Arabidopsis thaliana: one gene and its partners. Each later gene encodes a partner of the first gene's protein in a complex. Each region holds a gene or a part of one and is shown in the gene's direction. Other genes may lie near its edges. The genes, in order: PnsB1, NdhT, PnsL1 and NdhS.

Evidence for each region.
Region 2: PnsB1 (region 1) and NdhT share a complex: the UniProt entries of both Arabidopsis thaliana proteins name them as parts of the chloroplast NDH complex.
Region 3: PnsB1 (region 1) and PnsL1 share a complex: the UniProt entries of both Arabidopsis thaliana proteins name them as parts of the chloroplast NDH complex.
Region 4: PnsB1 (region 1) and NdhS share a complex: the UniProt entries of both Arabidopsis thaliana proteins name them as parts of the chloroplast NDH complex.

The regions. Positions count from the first base shown.
Region 1 is NC_003070.9:5,487,080-5,492,840, forward strand, and holds PnsB1 (NDH-dependent cyclic electron flow 1), read left to right. Parts: upstream 1-2,065; 5' UTR 2,066-2,234; coding exon 2,235-2,659; intron 2,660-2,757; coding exon 2,758-2,908; intron 2,909-2,995; coding exon 2,996-3,186; intron 3,187-3,258; coding exon 3,259-3,516; intron 3,517-3,595; coding exon 3,596-3,701; intron 3,702-3,787; coding exon 3,788-3,873; intron 3,874-3,951; coding exon 3,952-4,120; 3' UTR 4,121-4,224; downstream 4,225-5,761. Other genes in the region: AT1G15970 (DNA glycosylase superfamily protein), read right to left, coding at 1-21, 136-219, 307-364, 953-1,415; CNGC7 (cyclic nucleotide gated channel 7), read right to left, coding at 4,225-4,944, 5,014-5,362, 5,448-5,761. UniProt on the Arabidopsis thaliana protein: NDH shuttles electrons from NAD(P)H:plastoquinone, via FMN and iron-sulfur (Fe-S) centers, to quinones in the photosynthetic chain and possibly in a chloroplast respiratory chain.
Region 2 is NC_003075.7:5,929,133-5,933,980, reverse strand, and holds NdhT (Chaperone DnaJ-domain superfamily protein), read left to right. Parts: upstream 1-1,505; 5' UTR 1,506-1,828; coding exon 1,829-2,154; intron 2,155-2,240; coding exon 2,241-2,664; 3' UTR 2,665-2,871; downstream 2,872-4,848. UniProt on the Arabidopsis thaliana protein: NDH shuttles electrons from NAD(P)H:plastoquinone, via FMN and iron-sulfur (Fe-S) centers, to quinones in the photosynthetic chain and possibly in a chloroplast respiratory chain.
Region 3 is NC_003071.7:16,474,028-16,479,324, forward strand, and holds PnsL1 (PsbP-like protein 2), read left to right. Parts: upstream 1-2,170; 5' UTR 2,171-2,307; coding exon 2,308-2,367; intron 2,368-2,449; coding exon 2,450-2,531; intron 2,532-2,616; coding exon 2,617-2,721; intron 2,722-2,814; coding exon 2,815-2,888; intron 2,889-2,974; coding exon 2,975-3,097; intron 3,098-3,184; coding exon 3,185-3,256; intron 3,257-3,340; coding exon 3,341-3,437; intron 3,438-3,522; coding exon 3,523-3,626; 3' UTR 3,627-3,816; downstream 3,817-5,297. Other genes in the region: RPL23AA (ribosomal protein L23AA), read left to right, coding at 1,022-1,037, 1,341-1,704, 1,793-1,877; ABCB6 (P-glycoprotein 6), read right to left, coding at 4,222-5,297. UniProt on the Arabidopsis thaliana protein: NDH shuttles electrons from NAD(P)H:plastoquinone, via FMN and iron-sulfur (Fe-S) centers, to quinones in the photosynthetic chain and possibly in a chloroplast respiratory chain.
Region 4 is NC_003075.7:12,419,484-12,424,136, reverse strand, and holds NdhS (NAD(P)H-quinone oxidoreductase subunit S), read left to right. Parts: upstream 1-2,672; 5' UTR 2,673-2,791; coding exon 2,792-3,544; 3' UTR 3,545-3,723; downstream 3,724-4,653. Other genes in the region: AT4G23895 (Pleckstrin homology (PH) domain-containing protein), read right to left, coding at 25-80, 177-331, 412-529, 614-677, 758-840, 936-1,041, 1,127-1,254; AT4G23885 (uncharacterized protein), read right to left, coding at 3,897-3,914, 4,099-4,244, 4,596-4,653. UniProt on the Arabidopsis thaliana protein: NDH shuttles electrons from NAD(P)H:plastoquinone, via FMN and iron-sulfur (Fe-S) centers, to quinones in the photosynthetic chain and possibly in a chloroplast respiratory chain.

The DNA.
Region 1 (5,761 bases):
TCGAAGTCCATAAAAACTTCCCTGTTTCAAATAAGAAGCAAATTAGGCAATCAGAGATCAGAGCTACTGGCTTAGCATCAGAAGTTTATATTGCGAATTCAAAATTCATATTACTAAAGAACTTGGTTTGGTTACCTGAGTATATGTCTTCTGGAGAGAATGTCGGTCCATGAGAGTTCGGCTAGAGCACCAGAGAGGCATAATAACTCAAAAAGCTTCCTACACAAGTTAACCAAGCGGTAAGAGACTCTTATAACTACAAAGTGTATCTCAGATAGAAGGAAAATAGTTGAGGATGCCACATACTTGTCGTCATGTACAGGAACTCCCCATTCTTCGTCATGGAAAGCAACATAGCACGGGTCTTTACAACGTAGAAAAACGCAACATTATTAGTCAATTTACAGCAGAGAAAGATATGAAGCATGAGAGAACAACAAAGAATAATGGAAAGTGCCTCTTGGCATGGAAACATTTATGCTCATTAGTATAGAGAATCCAGAAAACGCTGTTTGGCTTACACTAAAAGCATAAACGAAGTGGATCTATCAGCTAATCAAAACATCCTTCATCTAAATTTCATGGACACTGAGAAGTTAAAATATTTATAAGAGAACTTCAGGACAAGCTACTTCATAAGTTATGCAACATAGCAAATGATCTACACAATGCTCACTGAATAAAATACATAGCAATTGAAACATTTTGTTGGCCATTGAATTACTTAATATTCACATACAGAAGAACATAATTAGATCAAACAAAAAACACTAGCTCCTTGTCTCAATTCAGTCCCATTTGATTCAACTAGATAAGAACTTTATCATCTCACACAATCAGGCTAAACTCAATCTCACATTCACATTTTCACTCATTTCATTTATTTGAATGCATCTAAAGTCAAAAGCTCTCTCACTATGCAATGTGTGATAGGTGAAAGTTTGATGCTTACCAGCTTTAGGTGTGATCCAAGCACACCTTTTACGACCATCAGCGAAGCAATCACCAGAAACCTTCTCTTCTTCTTTCCCAACACTCAGCTTCCTTGTAGAAGAGACAGACCCACTTCGCCTCACAACCTTCTTACAGCTCGAAGAAGACGCCACGCTCAAAGGCGATGACTCACACGAAGACGAAGCATCAGAGGAATACGAAGCAGTCATTGAAGCACTATTCTTTCTCAAAATCGAAGAGCAAAGAGACGAGCATTGCTTCAGAGTCGTCCTTGGTGAAGCCGGAGTAGTTGGTTTCTTCGCTTTCTCATCTTTTGAGTCGATGATGGTCTTCTCCATCATCGGCTTCTCCAGTTTCATCCCCGGTGGTTTCCTCTGCAGCTTGTTCCCGGTAGGACCAAGAACTGATCGGAACTCTCGCTCATCGGAATTTACGGACCGGAATCTAGGAGGAACCGACATTGACCCGATTCTCACAAAAAACTGCTTTTTGATTTCACAGATCTATCACTGGATCACACAACAACAACAAAATTGCTATTTCCAACAGTCTCGAAACTTATTTCAAGAGATTATATATCGGAAGGCCTAGACTTTACAGCTACATTAGCACCAAAAATGAAACTTTTTTGTCACCGCTAAATATCTCATTTTTAGGAATCTTCTAGTAAAACTAAACCAAGTTGCTTGCTGTGTTCACGAGAAAAGCAAGGTTAGAAACAATGAGCAACAAAATAAAATCTTTGAACAATGAAGAAAAAAAAAGCTTTTGACTTCAGAAAAACCCAGAAAAAAAAAAGAAAGAAAGAAGCTTTTTCTGATCGACGACGAAACGAATCAAATCGAGAGAGAGAGACGAGGAGAAAAGGTCATTCACCAGTCACGACTTAACACGTCATCGTTTGGTTCTTCTGCTTTTTCTGTTCTTTTGTTCCTCGACCCGACAATGAAACGGGTCCTTATTGCTCGACCCGACAAGTTAAATGGTTTAATTGCTTACTGTAATCAGTTGGTTAATGCTTCTGAGTTCTGAGATTAGGAATGTTTCTTTGCTCGTGCGTATCAACCAATGTAAAGACAAAAGTTTTAATTAATCGAACAGAGAATAATTTCTGGAATTGCCATAACCAAAATAAATAAATTAAATGCTAAGTTTTCTTCTATGGTCGGAAAATTGCCACAAAAGGGACCCACTTATCCTAAGTTCCTACAGAGATCTGTTTTCTTTCACAACATTTAAAAATCCAAACTTTTCTTTCTTTGGCTCAAAAAAACCTTCCAATGGCTTCTTCACTTCCTCTGTTACCCAAACCCATTTCCCCATTCTTTAAAACGCCGCCGTTTTCTACCTCCAAACCACTCGTCTTCCTCAACTTTCAAACTCGTCTTACGTCGAGATCTTCCGATGTATCGGTCAATCTCAAGAAGAAGAATAATCCGTGGCTCGACCCGTTTGATAGCGGTGAAGACCCGGATAACGAATACGGGTCCTTGTTTGCCGACGGAAAACAAGACGAGGATCCAAGACCACCGGATAATCCTGATAACCCTTACGGCTTCTTGAAGTTTCCAAAGGGTTACACCGTCGAGCTTGCTTCTTTACCGTTGAAAATCAGAGGAGATGTTAGACGATGTTGCTGCGTTATCTCCGGTGGCGTTTACGAGAATCTACTCTTTTTCCCGACTATTCAGCTAATCAAAGACAGGTAATAAAAGTATAAGACTCTGTCTCCGATTCGACATTTTTTTAAAACCTTAAACTGAAATGCAGAACATTGTCCGTACGTTTCTGTTGTTTTGTAAGGTATCCTGGTGTTCAGGTAGATATATTAACGACTGAAAGAGGAAAACAAACATACGAGCTAAACAAAAACGTGAGATGGGCCAATGTGTATGATCCGGATGATCATTGGCCTGAACCAGCTGAATACACAGACATGATCGGACTCCTCAAAGTTTGTAACTTTCAAATATTTCAACGTTTTTTCTATCTTTCCTTTATCAGACTGCTTAGTTAACTTTTCTTTTAAGTCATGTTTCAGGGAAGGTACTATGACATGGTTCTGTCCACGAAGCTAGCAGGGTTAGGCCACGCAGCGTTCTTGTTCATGACAACGGCTCGAGACAGGGTTAGTTACATTTACCCGAATGTTAACTCTGCAGGAGCTGGTCTGATGCTGTCCGAGACCTTTACAGCAGAAAATACCAACCTTTCAGAATTAGGTTATAGCATGTGAGTTCCTTGAAACCGAAGAAACTGCAGGTTTTTTTATCGCCTGTCTAAATTGACTGTTGATGGTTTCAGGTATACTCAGATGGAAGATTGGTTAGGAAGACCGTTTAGGAGTGTTCCAAGGACTCCTCTGTTGCCACTTAGGGTATCGATTTCACGGAAAGTGAAAGAGGTTGTGGCTGCAAAGTATAGGAATGCTGGAGCAGTGACGGGGAAGTTTATAGTGATTCATGGTATTGAATCAGATTCTAAGGCATCAATGCAATCAAAAGGAGATGCTGATAGTTTACTTTCACTTGAAAAATGGGCTAAGATTATAAAGGGTGTAAGGTAATTATTACACACCTTCAAAATGTGAATTTTTTGCTTAGTTTGAAATTCTCTGAGATATGATTGTGAACAATGCCAGGGGATTCAAGCCGGTCTTTGTGATTCCACATGAGAAAGAAAGAGAAAACGTTGAAGATTTTGTGGGTGATGATACATCTATAGTGTTCATCACAACACCAGGACAGGTATGCATGCTTATCTGTCTGTATTTGTTATGAACAAAGTTGAATTCACTGATCTTACTTTGATTCCTTTTCTTGAGCTTACTTAGTTGGCTGCTCTGATAAACGATTCTGCTGGAGTCATCGCAACAAACACAGCTGCGATTCAACTAGCTAATGCGCGAGACAAACCATGGTGAATACCTGAGTAATATAAAGAGTACTGATTCAATGTTTTCAAGAACTAACATGTGTGTGCTTCTTTTTCTTCCAGTATTGGGTTGTTCTCTTCAGAAGAGAAAGGGAAGCTCTTTGTACCGTATGCAGAAGAGAAGAGTAACTGTGTAATTATTGCTTCGAAGACTGGAAAACTAGCAGATATCGACATTGGAACTGTTAAAAATGCAATGCAGGTCTTTGAAGGATCATTGGCTCTCGTGTAGATAACTTTACAGTTTCTGAAACAAGTTCTATATATAGAGCATTTATGTGTATAAATCAGTTATGTAGTCTCTGTTCTGATGTTGGCCTCTCATCAAGAATTGGATTATTCAGCATCAAAATCAGGTTCCGGAGGCTTTTGCAGATTTATCAAGGTCTTTGAACTCTCTGAGCTCCTAAGTCTGTGCCCTTTCAATGCATTAGCAGCAAATCTTGATGCAAATATCGTTGAACGCAGTCTAGAAGAAGACTCACTTCTTGTGATAACCATAGGCCTCTTGTCACTCTCATCATCATATTCATCTTCATAACCCAATTCTTCTTCTTTTTCTTCAATCCGTCTCAATTCAGCGTTTTTCCTTCTTGAATAGCGACGCCAAGCAGCTTGGATGAAGCAAGAAGCCCAAGTTCTCCATTGCTGAGAGTAAAACCTAAATGTTTGTTGAACCTGTCGACTATGAAGTCTCCTAAACTGACTTGCTACAAACTTCAGCTCTTCAGCTTCAAGAGCGAAAGCCTCTACTTCAGTCAGAGCCTTCACTGTTCTTGTGGAAGAAGGTAAGTTTGAGCCTGCTTTAGGGTCAAGAGCCCATGTCAGAAGCTCTTCACCACAAAAGTCTCCTTCTTTTAACAACCCTCTGTTGAAGAAACCGCTTCTTCCCCCATCTGTTGTTACACTTTCTAACCGGCCTCGGATTATGAACATCATTTCGTTAACGGGGTCTCCTTCACGCACAATGTAAGTGCTTTCCGTGAAAAGACTCGGCTTTAATCTCTCACAGATTGCGTCAAGTAATCTTTCATCCATATTAGCAAACAGAGGAACCTGTAGAAACAGAACACATAGTTAGTTAGTATCTCAAGCAATTTTAGCATTCTGATTGTGAAAACTTACCCTCCTAACTAAATTCAGACAGAGATGGCGTTTGATGTCTCTTCTGAGATCCTTAGGTAAACTCTGAACTATGTTTTCTTCGTCTACACCTCTTGTCTCTAACCATTTGTATTGATCATAGCGTCTGACTCTTTCCCTCAAATTTTGTGGAAGTGACCTGTGATGCATCCACTGTTCTGAGTCACGTCTTTTGATCCTCATTTCCTCGAGACGAACAGTAAGTGACTGAAGATAAGTCTGCATATTCCCGATGAGAAGCGCGAAAAGAAGAAGCCCAGCTATAGCAATCGCAATGGAAAACAAAACCTCTCCTGGAAATGTACTTGTCTGCAGCCCTTGACCTAACGTGCTGTTCATGAAAACACCAAAGATGTCAAGAGTACTCTGCACAAGCTATCGGTTGAACCAATGACAATGAGTTGCCCCCGCCTTACCTGAGATTTTGAAGACCCCACCATAGACAATAACAGAACTTGGAGAAAAATGTTGTTGATGATACAATGCCTGAAGATATAGCCTGACCGTATATCCCATAGTTAAACTTTGAATCATCTGCTTTAGCAGAACAATTGCTCTTAAGAAGCTCAGGGACTGTTTTGATCCATTCAGTTTCTCCACTGCTCACAAATTTAGTCCCACAATACAGAATCTGAACACAGAGTCGCGGATCTGGCTGAACTTTACACGCAAATCTCCAACAAGTATCGTTACGCTCCACTGACAACATGTACCAAAACGCTCCAGTTAT
Region 2 (4,848 bases), on another chromosome or scaffold:
ACAAGATCTAGATACAACAGAAATATTGTGATGAATAAAATTGAGAGACAAATTTAATTGAAAGTTACATGTAAAGAATCTGTGCAGGTTGTCAAAGAAAGTGAGAGAGTGACAAAAGCGCTTCATCTTCGGGAAGATAATAATATATGGTTAAAGCGCACAGATTTCAAGGAAGGAGAGATAAAATAGAGAAGAAATGGAGAGGGACAAAATCGATATTTCAGTATGAAATATGACATGAGTTGTAAGGCCCAGCAAATTATGGCAGATTGCATAAGGATTGGAAAAAATATGGCATATGTTGTAATTTTTTCCTTTTTAAAAATAATCTAAATAATTCTATAATCAATATGTGAACGATATTATACTTTACAGATCTTTTTGTAACTTCACCTTAATTATGATAGACCTTGCAAACAAATAAATGCAACAAAAAATAGACACTAAAAAATCTCAACAACAATCTTTAAATTATAAAAAATCACATAAATATCTTCGGGATTCAAATTTTAATAATTATTTAAACGGATTTTCTAATTTATATCAAAACCAAATATATTGAATATAAAATATACAAATAGGAAATACATTAATTTAAAAGATACAAAATATTTAACAAGAAATTGTGTTATTTTTTGTTCAAAGAATTCGATATAAAATCTTCGAAACGATCCGATATTGATTCTTATTAGATTGAAATTGTTAAAATTTCAATATATTATACAATTTTTCTTTTTAAATTGAAATTGTAAACCGACTCGAAGTATATTAAATAAAAATATTATTAAAAAGAAAAAGAACAATTTGATTTTTAGTTATCACGGGACGGATTTATATGGCGGGACGGGTTTACAGGAGACGAGTTTACATGGTAGGACGGGTTTGGATGAGACGAGATTATATGGTGCTATGAGTTTAGATGGGAAAAATTTGGATACCACGGGTGTACTCCTAGAATTAACAATCAAATTACAACTATACAATAGTAAACAAAACAAACAATAATAACATAACAAATACAATTTTAATTTCAAATTTTTAGTTACAAAAAAATAAATAAAATCAACATTTTAGTATAAGTGTTAATCTTCTTTGACACCTCTAAATGTTATTCTTCTTTGATACATTTAAATGTGTAATTTTAATATAAAGTTACTAAACTACATATGTTCCATGGATTAAATTTGAAAACACCAAAAGTTTATATTAAATAATTTTTTTATAACAAATTATGAATAAAATAAAATATTATCCCGTGGTATGGTCTATCACAAGTCAAATCCTAAAAGATAAAATAACATATATTAGACTTATTAATATCATAATTGTGACTCAATAAAAAACATACACAACCTTATCGATAATTATTAATCATCACAAACAACAACAAACAACAAATTATATTTTGTGATAAAGAAAAATAAATAAATAAATTTAATTTACGGTATATCGCGGGTCATATCCTAATTATGATACAATTGTCTATTTTTACCCTATATATATTACAAACGCACACATTTGTTGCATAACATATTTAGACATCGCTTCCAAAGAAAGAAATCATTTATCTCTACATTATTTCTTCCTCTCATTGCCCCTCTCTTCTCAACGTTTTGTCTCTTATATCTTTACGTTTCATACTTTTTTTTTGTTGACATTTAATTATTTAAATTTTTTGTTCCTATGGACACTAGATAGGACAACAAAAGATATAAAGAAAATCTACACCACACATATCATGAGGTTCTGGAACAAGTTTCTGCGGTAAGAGAAACCAAAAACATGAAGGGCAGAAAAAAAAAGAACAAACCATCTTCAACACAGAGCCATGGCTTATGCAACTTCTACCTATGCACGAACCTCATGCATTATCCTACCCAAAATCCAAAACGGCGCGCATTTCACGGATGACACGAAAGCATTTAGAAGGATAACAGCAAGAAGAGTGACGCGTATATACGCGTCACAAGGCCCGACTAAACCGTCAAAACCATCTCCAGGAGTAGACACAAGAATCCACTGGGAAAGCCCGGACGAAGGCTGGATCGGAGGAAGATCCGACCCGGCCAAATCGGTTGATGAGGACAAAACCAATCTCCTTAGTGACGAAAAATTTGCAGAACTAATCAAAGACTCTTTTGATTCTCATTACCAGTGAGCAAAACAAACATTCTCATTACATATCTTTTTATTTTTATTTTTCAATATGTATTGTAACATGTAACAATAATCATTTTCAGATTCTTAGGTGTTTCAACGGATGCTGATCTAGAAGAGATAAAATCTGCGTACCGGAGATTATCTAAAGAGTATCATCCAGATACAACTTCACTACCACTTAAAACAGCTTCAGAAAAGTTCATGAAATTAAGAGAAGTGTACAATGTTTTGAGCGATGAAGAGACTCGGAGGTTTTATGACTGGACACTGGCTCAAGAAGTTGCGAGTCGTCAAGCTGAGAAAATGAGAATGAAGCTAGAGGATCCGAAAGAGCAAGATTTTAGGGGCTATGAATCAATACCTGATATGGTTGACCGGTTAGGTGGAAGAAACATGGAGCTTAGTGATCAAGCAATGACTGCTCTCACGTTCGATATTTTGATCGTATTATTCGCTGTTTGTTGTATAGCTTTTGTGATTGTTTTCAAAGATCCTTCTTACTAGGTAAGGAGCTTTGTATATACTTGGAAAATTCATATAGTTTATATGTAGATGGAAGATTAACAATTACAGATTATAAGATCATTTGAACTAAAATAAAGTGGTCTAGTGGTTCTGTTCCTCACCTTTTTTGTGTGTGTGTTATTTTTGGATTTTTTCTAAGCTATCCAAACATTGTTTTAGAGCTATATTTTGTTATGCTTACCTAGCTAATCCAAATAGTCTCATTTATATAAAACAAAGCGAACAAAATAGTAGTTTTGATAACTAATGCGGAATTCACTAGTTTGGGAAGTATAGTAGGAATAAAAACTAGGGAGATTTGCAAAACTACCCTTTTTTCACTACCTTTTGCAACAATACCCTTTTATCAAGTCTTATATATATGTAGCACCTGACTCAATCCTCCTTAGACGTGTTCCTTAGAACTGTTCGATGCACATTTTGACTACGTTTTTTTTTCTTTTTTTCCTAAGATGTAAATATTTCACTAAAAATGAAAACAGTTTAAGAGTATAATCAAAAGACTATAAATGGTCCCATGACAAAAGAAAAACATGAAGCATAATTTATCAAGCAAACTTCAGTCCATCCGCATAACAAACGCACATAAGCTAATAGAACTAGATGAAGTGATAAAGGATTTTGTTGTTCTTTCAGACTAGTTTGAGTAAATGAAGGGTGATAGCACGTGAAGAAGCCAAAATTGTCTGCACACTAAGCACTATAAGCCTTTCACTGGAAACCCAAATTGAGACGTCAACGGTTAAGTACTAAATGTCGTCGATCACATTTTGATTTGGAACATGGCTTGTGTTGTCATTGTCTCAATGAACTGTTTTAGCGAGGCTTCAATGTGAGCAAATTTCTCATTGACTTCTACTTCTACATGCATCTTCACGAGCTTCTCTTGGACGTCGTCAAAGCTTACTTTAAGTTGATCAAGTGTGTCCTTGTTATTCGTAGTCATTGTACGAATTTTTGTTCTGATACAAAATGAAAAACAAGGATATGGAAATTGATAAGAACAATAGTCTTTTGGTAGAAAAATTATGTGATTATCTTCTTATTTTTATACTTAAATAGGGTATACAACATGGACGTGAATATGGAATCATGGATTCATACAAAAATGGAGATAGGGGAAAGTGGTTCCTACTTCTATGACCACTAGTATTTATTTAGGGGGTGATTGACATTGGACTGTTAAGACTTTAAAAGCATTTGACAGTCCTTACAAGATTAATAATATTTTTAGACTTCAAGTTTCTTTTGTAAAATTCAAGATTAATAATATTTTTAAATATTTTTTTTCTCAAAAATCCATCAAAACTAAAAATTATTTATGATTCGATGATTTATTTTTGGTTTAGACCCTGAATGGATGCTGATTTTCGATTCAGTTTTTGGATTTAGATTTTAGTTTCTAGATTTTAGATTTTAGTTTTAGATTTTTGTTATTATATTTTTGTTTTAAAAACCCCAAAAAATTGGTTTTTAGTTTTTGAGAAAAATAACGTTGATGGAGTAAAAACTAGATTCCCTAAGTTTTAGGAAAACTATAAAATTAAAATCATGAATCAAAAACTACAACAAAATAGTTTTTCTAAATTGTAGGGAAACCAAAATTTTATAATCTTGATTGGTATAAAAATAAGTTTTTGAAAAACAAAATCTAAAAACTCTTACAAAATCTACAAAACATTCAAGGCCTTAGTCTATTGTATTCTATTTTGGTTTCAATGGATGCAATGAAAAAAGCACACTAAATCGCTAACAGACAAAACCACTTTATTTTTAGAGCGGACGATAAATCGCATGCGGATAAAAAAAATTCTACGTAAAAGTTATCTGTAGTTAGTACACCGCAAACTTTTTTTTTTTTTAATTCGCACTACTGCGGATTATAGTTTATGAATGATAAACAAAAGGGTGAATGAAATATCTATACATGGAAGAATATATAATTAAGGATCTACACATATCATTTAGTTATTTAGGTGGAAATTTTCTTGTAAATTAAATATGACATAATTGCCCCTATACAAACAAAGAATCAGTAGCCTTCTTCCGCGAGATATATTGTACCTATAAGAAAGAGACACAAAGCATTTAAGTCTTAGGTGTGTACCTATATATATATATATATATATATATATAGCTCCTTATCATTTTTTTGAAAAAAAC
Region 3 (5,297 bases), on another chromosome or scaffold:
TTCAACTGCAATTAAACGACCCCGTGACATGACATGGTTATGAGTCACATATGTGCCCTCTCAAACTCTATTATGTAGTATAAAAACTGTATTAGATACAACCGACCCAAGATATAGAAGAACCTTTGAAAAATGGTAGAAGCCAGTTCAGCTAAAGCTTTCTTCTTCACAATTATCGTAAAATATTAGACATGTAGAGCAGGCTTGTTGTTCTCTTATTGTCAAGCGTAAGTAAATGATTATTGTTTAGTTTCGTGACCAATTGGTTTGTTTTTTGGTTAGCCATTGTTCGATTTGCTTTGGTTTGGTCAAAGATTGTATGCTTTCAAGTCAAACCAAAGCTGACTAAATTTTATTCTGTAATAATTTACTTTGGAATGGCAAAACCAAAGAAAGGTCATAGACACAAGAGAAGAAGCAAATATGTTTCTTACGCCAAAAGACACGTTTGTATGGTAAGACAAAAGACACGTTTGTATGTTTCTTACGCCAATACCATTACGTTAAAAATAAACTAGTAACTTAAATTTACGCTCACTTTCTATTTGGGTTTTACATGATGATTTTGGTCAAAGGCCTATTTACAATGTTGCAAGCCCATATTATCTTTTAAGTATCTTTTTGTGCAACCAAAAGAATCAGTGATCTTATGCTCATTTTCATTTTTTTCTAATGAAATTTTTCGTCACTTATGGCTTATGCGTCCGATGGACGATTATGGTAAAAGGCCCATTTATTCAATCCAAAGCTTACTGGGTTAGATGATGATTGTGGTAAAAAGGCCCATTATAGACCCAACTAAGTATCTTAGGGTTTCAGTTTCCACTATAAAACTTGTTGCGGCGTAAGTTAGGGTTTTGAGAATCAGCGGCTTCACCTCTCCAGGTTCGTGTCTCGATTTTGCAAACTATCTCTCGAAATCGTCCTACATTTCTTTCTTCAGATTCATTACTGAGCTTCGCTTTCTGGGTTTCTATCTAAAAATTTCACAGATTTCGTGTGTGAAGAATCATTTCAAGCCATGTCTCCGGCTAAAGGTACGATCTTTTCATTGATAACCACTTGAATCTTCACTGGAACATGATGGATTTGGATCTTCTTCTACTAGACTTTAGTTTTGCTGAACCCGCTAGTATCTGGTCTCGATTAATGTTTTCTAATCATGTTTCGTTAGGTGATTAGTTTCAATATCTTCCTGATTAGCTTCAACTAAGTGAGATTAATGTAGTATCCAAATGAATTTTGTCTGTAGACGTGTTTCTGAGTATTCATGTATTGAAGTCAGATTTGTATCAAAGTATTATATGATGCTTAAACTCTCTGTTGTATGTAATTTGCAGTTGATACTACCAAGAAGGCTGATCCTAAGGCCAAGGCCTTGAAGGCGGCAAAGGCTGTGAAGTCTGGTCAAGCCTTCAAGAAGAAGGACAAAAAGATTAGGACCAAGGTCACCTTCCACAGGCCAAAGACTCTTACCAAGCCTAGAACTGGTAAGTACCCAAAAATCAGCGCTACTCCAAGGAACAAGTTGGATCACTACCAAATCCTTAAGTACCCACTCACCACTGAATCTGCGATGAAGAAGATTGAAGACAACAACACTCTTGTTTTCATTGTTGACATTCGTGCTGACAAGAAGAAGATTAAGGATGCTGTTAAGAAGATGTATGACATCCAGACCAAGAAAGTGAACACACTCATCAGGTACTTTAAAGAGTATTTTTCTATGAAGCCTTGTTGTGAGATTGATTATGTTCAATATATTTGACACTATGGTTTGGTTTTGTTACAGGCCTGATGGAACCAAGAAGGCTTACGTGAGGCTTACACCAGACTATGATGCTTTGGATGTTGCTAACAAGATCGGCATCATCTAAGTCTATCTATCTCTGCAGTTATAAAGACTATTGTGGTTTTGTCTCTTGTAGTCTCAGTTTTGCTTTTAAGATATTTATTATTACTATCATCTGGTAATTGTAGTATTTTGGAGCAAAAACGTTTTACAATACATTCATGTTGCAGTTTATTGTTGAATTCAAGTTCTATGTTTTTGACTTATCAAGATTCTCTTTTTAAAACTCACTAACTTATAAACTGTAAACATACAAATGCAGTATCTTCTCTAACCAGTAAATGATCATAAATCGATCTATCACCACATATTGTTTGCATCTTTCATTATCCTTTTATCCACATGTTGATGAATGGAGAAGTCCGAGAAATGACGAAAATCAGAAATTTCTTATCCACATAGAACACTAAGGCAATGTTCATTGATCATCAAAAGTCTTGTGAATTGTAGCCACTATGGCAGTCTCCTCACTCTCAATCCGCTGTGGTGGTTTCTCACCAACAATCTCCCACAAGGTTAATAACACTGTTCTGATTCCAGTCTCCATTTCTGAAAACTAAAAATCATTATTGTTCATTGATTCATATTTCTTACCAGACAGAAATTCTCTGTCCAAATCCATCACTCAAAGCTTGTTGTTTACTTTCATCCGGTGGTAAGGCCGACTCCTCGGAGAGTAGTAAGAAACTAAACTCTTGTGACATTTTCCTTCTCATACGTAATACATTGACTTGTGTGGATTGATTTTTATTAAAATTCAATAGCTTACCAAAAAGGCAGCGGAAACAATTGGAAGAGAAGGCAAGCTCTTGTGGGAGTAGGAACTTTAGTGGCAACTTCAATTCCAGCAACTTTGCTTCTTGCTGAAGGTAATCTGCAAAACTAAGGGTTTTGTTTTTGCCTCTCTTCTTCATTCTTTTGGGACCAAAAGCCTAATATGTTGATTCATATCATGTTTGCAGAGATACCAAAAAGCTACTCGCCTTTTGTGGATCGAGAAGACGGGTATTCTTACTATTACCCATCAGACTGGAGGGTGGGTAATGGCTTTGTTTCCATTTTTGTTGAAAGAATGAAACATAAATGAATTGAGAATATCTCTGTTCTGCCCTTACTACGTAGGAATTTGACTTCAGGGCACATGATTCAGCCTTCAAAGATAGATACTTGCAACTGCAGAATGTGCGGGTCAGGTTCATACCAACGGAGAAAAACGACATCCATGAAGTAGGTCCTATGGAAGAGGTATGTATTACACACCTTACTTTCCCTCTACCATCTATGTCATTAGAGAATTCACATTGGTTCATCATTCTTATATATGTTCATCAGGTGGTTTATGATCTAGTGAAGCATAAGTTTGCAGCACCAAACCAAGTAGCTACCATCTACGATATGAAAGAGGTCAGATGATTGTTAACATCTTAAAGAATCATCAAAGTTGTTGAGAGATTGGATCTTTATAAACAATAAGAGATGAAAATGCAGAGGGTGGAAGATGGAAAGAACTATTACACGTTTGAGTATGGACTAAGAACTCCTATCTATGCAACCACTTCCTTTGCAACAGTGGCAGTTGGAAACAGTAAGCACAGATTATAAGAATTATGAGATAGATGAGAGAAGAAATTGAGGAATAAACAAGTGTTATGACTGATTTGATGTTGCAGACAGATACTACACTCTCATAGTTGGAGCAAATGAGAGAAGGTGGAGGAAAGTGAAAAAGCAGCTTCAAGTTGTGGCCGACTCTTTGAAGATCCTTCAGATTTGACAAACACAAGAAACATCTTACTCCTATATATCTTTCTCTCTCTGTGGTTACAAAACTGTCTGTAGATAACAATTTGATATTTTCATATTCTCTATAACTCCAACGATGGTTTTGGCATTGTGAGTTAGATTCTGAGTTGGTTCAGTAATTCAATCAAACTTGCAAATAAAGTGGAAATAATGTATTTACAAAACAGACATATTTCTTCCTAGCCATTACACACTTCTCCACCTAAATCACTCACAACAACAAAAAAGCAAACCTCAGCAAATAAAATTGCCTCTAATCTTCAGTTTCAATAAACAAATCGATATACCTTAAGAGACCAATCAATGAATAAATAACACAGTCCTACTTCATTGCTTAGCCTCCTGAAAGAATAAGGGAATCTAACGTCTACAAACTCCTAAGTTGCTTACAGAAACTAACCGTGGTTGTACAACTTCTGCTCATCTGCTGTCATCCCGGACCCGATAAGCCTTTGATCAGATGCATGTCCTGTAACTACATCCAATAACGTTATCTCGTGGCATATCACATGATGGTTGGTATGTGACTGAACTAATCTCAATTAGGCACATGAGTCCAATCTCTTTTAGATCAGTTGATGTCGCCGTAGATTCTTGCCAAAATGTGGTTGCATTAAACGGACATACAATCCGTTTTTACCCGCTAAACAATCATGCGTACCTTCCTCTACTATTTTGCCTCCATTGAGAACCACAATGTTATCCACATGTCTCATCATCGCTACTCTATGCGCTATCAGAATTGTTGTTTTGTTCCCCATTATCAATGTATCAAGAGCTTCCTGCACAACACGGCTCGACTCGGATTCGATAGATGAACTCGCTTCGTCAATCAACAGTATTGGAGCATTCTTCAGCACTACCCGAGCTATAGCGATTCTCTGTTTTTGTCCTTGGGTAAGCTCAACACCTCTCATCCCGATATGTGTGTCGTATCCGTGAGGTAAGCTGCTGATGAAATGGTGGGCATTTGCAATCCTTGCTGCTTCCTTCATCTCAGCTTCACTTGCATTGTGCCTTGCGTATATAATGTTTTCTCTGATCGTTGTGGAAAAGATTATGGGTTCCTGTTGAATCAGACCCATATGGCTTCTTAACCATCTCAAATTATATGACTTCAAGTCTCGCCCATCTAATAAGACCTGACCAGCAACTGGGTCGTAGTATCTCTCGATCAACGATATTATTGTGCTCTTTCCAGAACCAGAAACACCAACCACAGCTACTGTTTGTCCGCCATTGACTTTGAGACTGAAGTTGCTTAGTACTAACACTTCCGGGCGGGTTGGGTAGCAGAAGTCGATGTTTTTCAGTTCAATGCTTCCATACACGTTAGGCGGACTAAGAGCCGAGGTATCATCAGGTTCGATTGTAGGAACTCGATCTATTATTTCAAAAACTGAAGCGAGAGATCTACGGCGCTTGAGAATGTAAGGTGCTAATCCGAATGGCTCCACAAGAGCAAATGTAGCAAAGGAGAAGACCATGTACTCGGTTAGAGCTGTAGACAATTTCATATATCTGCGGTCTACTGATAACGCGGTGTACCACAGGAGGAGCGCATTACAGGCGAAGAGAAGAAACTGTGAGAAGCCAAACGCAAAGCCAATAGCCATCCCATGGAAAAAGCTCTGCCTGAGTA
Region 4 (4,653 bases), on another chromosome or scaffold:
GCTTCGACTGATCCATTTGATAACCTTTCTTCTGGTTCAGACTTGCAATCAAGGCGCAAAACCGACAACCACGAATCAACCTAAAACCATACAAAACCGCGAAATCATTGCGTTCAAATGCTGTGGGATCTCTCAACAACAATCTGTGTGTAAAGATGTATATGTATTTGGTTCACCTGTGTTTTAGAGGTGCTTGAGCACTCAAATCTTAGACCTTGACGGGTTAATATGTAAAAGCAATAATGGGTTTCATCGAATTCTCTCGTGTAGCTTGGTACCGAACCAATTTCAACAATATCTGCTAGCAATGTCGAATCTTGAGGGCTCAAGTCTGCAATAGAGAATTTCAAGAGACATTACAAGAAGAATACAAATTTGAAACAGGATTGTAAAAGCTGAACCTTAACTCACCTGTTGACAATAAATAGAAGAAAAGACAAGGGCCTTGAAGGACGACAAACCGAGGAAGCCAGTCGTCTACTTCTGTATCATCTATTGGTGGTGGTTCACCCGGAAGAGCTGCCCAACGCTAAAGTCAAACAAAAAAATAAGGCAAATTTGTAAAACATCCTAGTGGATCAATAATGATAAGTAATTCAGAGTAAGGCCCTACACTTCTGATAAACAAATAACCAGATAAACGGGCAGAGCGCAAGACTTCATCCACATGTTCCAACCTATGTAGCAGTTCAGCAAGAAGAAATTGAGATATGCGCTTTTAATCTGAGAATGGAACAAATTTGAGTATATGACTTACTGGGCTTTGAGGTAAGCTTCTCTTTCTTCCATATCAGAAAGTTCTGATCTAAGTGATTCTAACTCCGCTGCTGATAGCTCGACCTGCCAATGAGAGAGTGATCAGGATTCAGGAGAAAACCCTGAAACTTCAATGAGGTGAATCAAAAACAAAGAAGAAAGGTGTGAGAGAATGGAACCTTCTCTTGACCATCTGAAACCCAAGGCAGACGGCGAAGAGTGAACAAATTCAACATAGTTGCTGCTCTTTTCAGGTTTCTGCGAGTCCGTGACTGGCTATAAGGCCTACTCTAAACAAAACCACCCGAAAAAACAATTCATTTCAGCTCAGAATTTCCCTTCTTAGCATATTTATTCGCTAACAATTTACCTCAGAGAACTATCGTCCTTTGGCTGCGAAGATGATGGAGTATCGTGCTGAGAAGATTCTGCTGTGGGACTAGGAGCACTAAAGTGATCAGGTAATATGTTTAGCTTCTTAGGAGTACCATCATCCATGAATTGAAACGACTCCAGAACCTTCCACTAGAAAATGAATCAAAGCTTAGCCAGAGATGAAACTACTCTAAAACTCTCAGCTTGTAGTACATTGATTCCCCAAAAGAAGTCGAAAAAATCACATAGTTAAAAACTTTTTTGTCCATTCAAGAGATGTCATCTGAGCATGATCTAATCTAGATTCTGATATGAGACAAACTCCTATATGAACTTTAGCATTCCATGAACATTATTTAATCTCCCTAAATGACTTGTCTCTCAGTCTCTATCTTATGCTTATTCTTATCATAGATCTAATCCACAAGTATGTATGTATCATCACTTGGAGAGATATATAACTACTAAAAATCCTTATTCCTCACTGAGGATCAAACATACCTCTTTATATATCTTTCAACGCCGAATTTTACAATCCCACTTCACCAGAAATTTTGATATCCCTTGTGAGAAATCAGCTCGCTGTAAAAGAAAAACAAAGTTCAGCTTCTACAAAAAGAAAGAGGACGAAAATGAACTCTTTCTTTTTCCCATTCTAGATTTTATTAGCTCAAATTAAAAACAACAGAATCGAATTTTCTGGAAACCCTAACAAAATACAAAAACATTGAGCAGAAATAGAAGCTCGGAAGTCGGAATCGAATGACGGGAACCTCGAATAATTTGAAAAAATTGACTGAAGAGAAGATCGAGACCTTGTTTTTACCTGATCGAATGTGATCTCTGTATTCAAGGGAAAGTGTTTACGCAATTGGTTTTTTGGTTGAGTGCTTACTGCTTCAGCAGGAAGAAGATGTTGGGTTTGGGAATTTTACTCATAAAGAAACTTTAAATTTGGTACCAAAAAGACGCTTTTATCCCCCGGTTAGGTTGCGTCAGCCAGCTCTACCCACATGGGCATTGCTGCAGATATTACAAGTTTTGTAATTTGTTAACGAATGTTTGTAAACTTTTGACTAATCTTATCTACAATATAATGAATTTATCGAATCAATGTAAAAGTTGTTTTCATTCATGCTTAATACATTAATTGATCAAAGTTGCCAACTAAGTATTTGGTGATGCCGATGAGTGTAAAGGACAGCCTAAGACAAAAGTGTATGTCTAATTATGATTTGGGAGTATGGGATTCCAATTATTAATGTCGTTGACCCAAATGATTTATCTTCTTCTTGCTGCTTTTTTCTTAATAAACAAACAAATCCACATTATTAGCATTTAGCAATATGTTTAATTACATTACCATTGTTTTTAATCTAGGCCCATATCTCTTAAGAATATTCAAACTTGGTCCAGGTTAAACTTATGACAAAGCCCAAATGTTCCTACTCTTTCTCCTAAATCATTATTCCAAACACCGGTTACGCATTAACCGGTTCAGGTCCACTGGTAATTTGGAAATAGATAGAACTCATCTAACTGAAATCATGATATGTGGTCATTATAACAAGCGAATCAATCACACGCTTCTTCCTTCCTCTTCCATCTTCTTCATATCTCCCTTAGTCACCTCTACTCTACTCTGCAGGCAAAAATAGTTATGGCGACTTCTTCGATCACTATCCCGACCATTAGAACTCCGATTCATCGATCAAAATTTCTAGGCCAAACACATCAATTTTCAACTGTAAACCGGTCGGTTTTCCCGCCTCCAAAACAGCAGTCAAAACTGTATCAAGTAAAGGCCATGGGTAAATTCAATCTATGGGAAGTGATGGGAGGAAGAGGATTATGCAACGGAGAGAAAGGTATTGAGAAGGAGCTCCAGAGGAACATTGAAGACGAGCAAGAGACATCAAAGGCTGAGAACAACGAGACAGAGAGAGAGAGCGATGACAGTAACTTGTCTTTTAAAGTACCTGAAGATGGTTTCGAGAAAGAGATGATGGGTCTCACAGGAGGATTTCCCGGTGGCGAAAAGGGTTTAAAAACGTTTATCGAAAAAAATCCACCACCTCCTCCACCACCACCACCTGCAAAACAAGGAAGCGATGCATCCGCGGTTGCTACAGATAAGAAGCCGAAAGCGCCCAAGCTACCCCTTCTCATGCCGGGGATGATTGCTATAGTCAAGAACCAGAACAGTCCGTATCACATGTATTGTGGAATTGTGCAGAGGATCACTGATGGAAAAGCTGGTGTCTTGTTCGAAGGAGGAAACTGGGACCGTCTCATTACTTTCAGGCTTGAAGAGCTTGAACGAAGAGAAAAAGGTCCACCGGGTAAGAATCCAAAGTCTTGTATTCTCGAGCCTCTTATCGAACAGATGCAAAAGGAAGAGGCAGCACCATAAGTGATCTTCTCTTCTCTGTATGTAAGTTCCTGTGAATGTATATGTAACGTACCTTTGCGTTTTAGGCTACAATATTTCTGACTGGTTCTAAAAGAGCTTCATCATGTGATATAAAAAAAAGAATAAACGATGAATTTCAATCATAAAGCACTTAATAATAGAGATTCAAATGCACTCAATCAATGATGAATCAGTATAGAAGTTAAAAACTGCAATGGAGTAGTTTTATTGTTATCATTGGTTGTTGTAAACATCAACCATATCAGTTTCTTCTTGACTATCGAGTATATTCTGTAAATGGTAAAGATGAGAAGTGATCCACCATTCTTGTCAACAGATCATGTTGAAATGATCAGATGCAGCCTCCCAACTGTAAAAAAAATTCAGAAAAGGATAAGGAAGTTAGAAACAGAACAATATTATTAAATCATGAAAAGGGTTCTCTCAACTTGTAATTGGTCACATAATTATAACTTAGTAGTTGGTCACACATTATACTGTTAGATACATGTTCATCTAAGTGTTGTTATACATGTCAAAATGAAGTTACATACCAAAATGGCTTCCATTTCTTCGTTTGAAACTGGCGTGCGCTTTGGCTGCGATGATGCCTTCCCGCCAGTAGTCTTTTGGATGTTGTTCAAATTGGAGAAGAACAATGTATCAGCTTCATTTGCCACCTGACTCTTTCCCTCTGAAGCTGCAATGCCAGAAAGTAAATCGCATAACAAACAGATGATTACCCAAACCAAAAGCTAAAAAACATAAGAGCTTCTCTATAATGATTCGAGATTTGATAACAAACACGATTCGATTCAATGGCTAAACAAATCTGTGTATCCTTTGAATCTAACTATGTAAATGCAAATCAATCAGAGCGAAATAGATCGGAAAGCAAAAATTCACAGCCAAATGAATACAATCTCATATCTGATTCATGAAAATGAAACCGTACACAAAAAAAATTCGAATCAAGCGAGAAAAAGCCGAGCAAAATTGTGGAAAAAATAACATAGATTCTGTGTAGAGAGTTTCATGGATAATCGAAAACCTGAAGGATTAATATGTCTCTGAGGGAATTTGATGCGAGGAATCCTCTTCAAACCGTG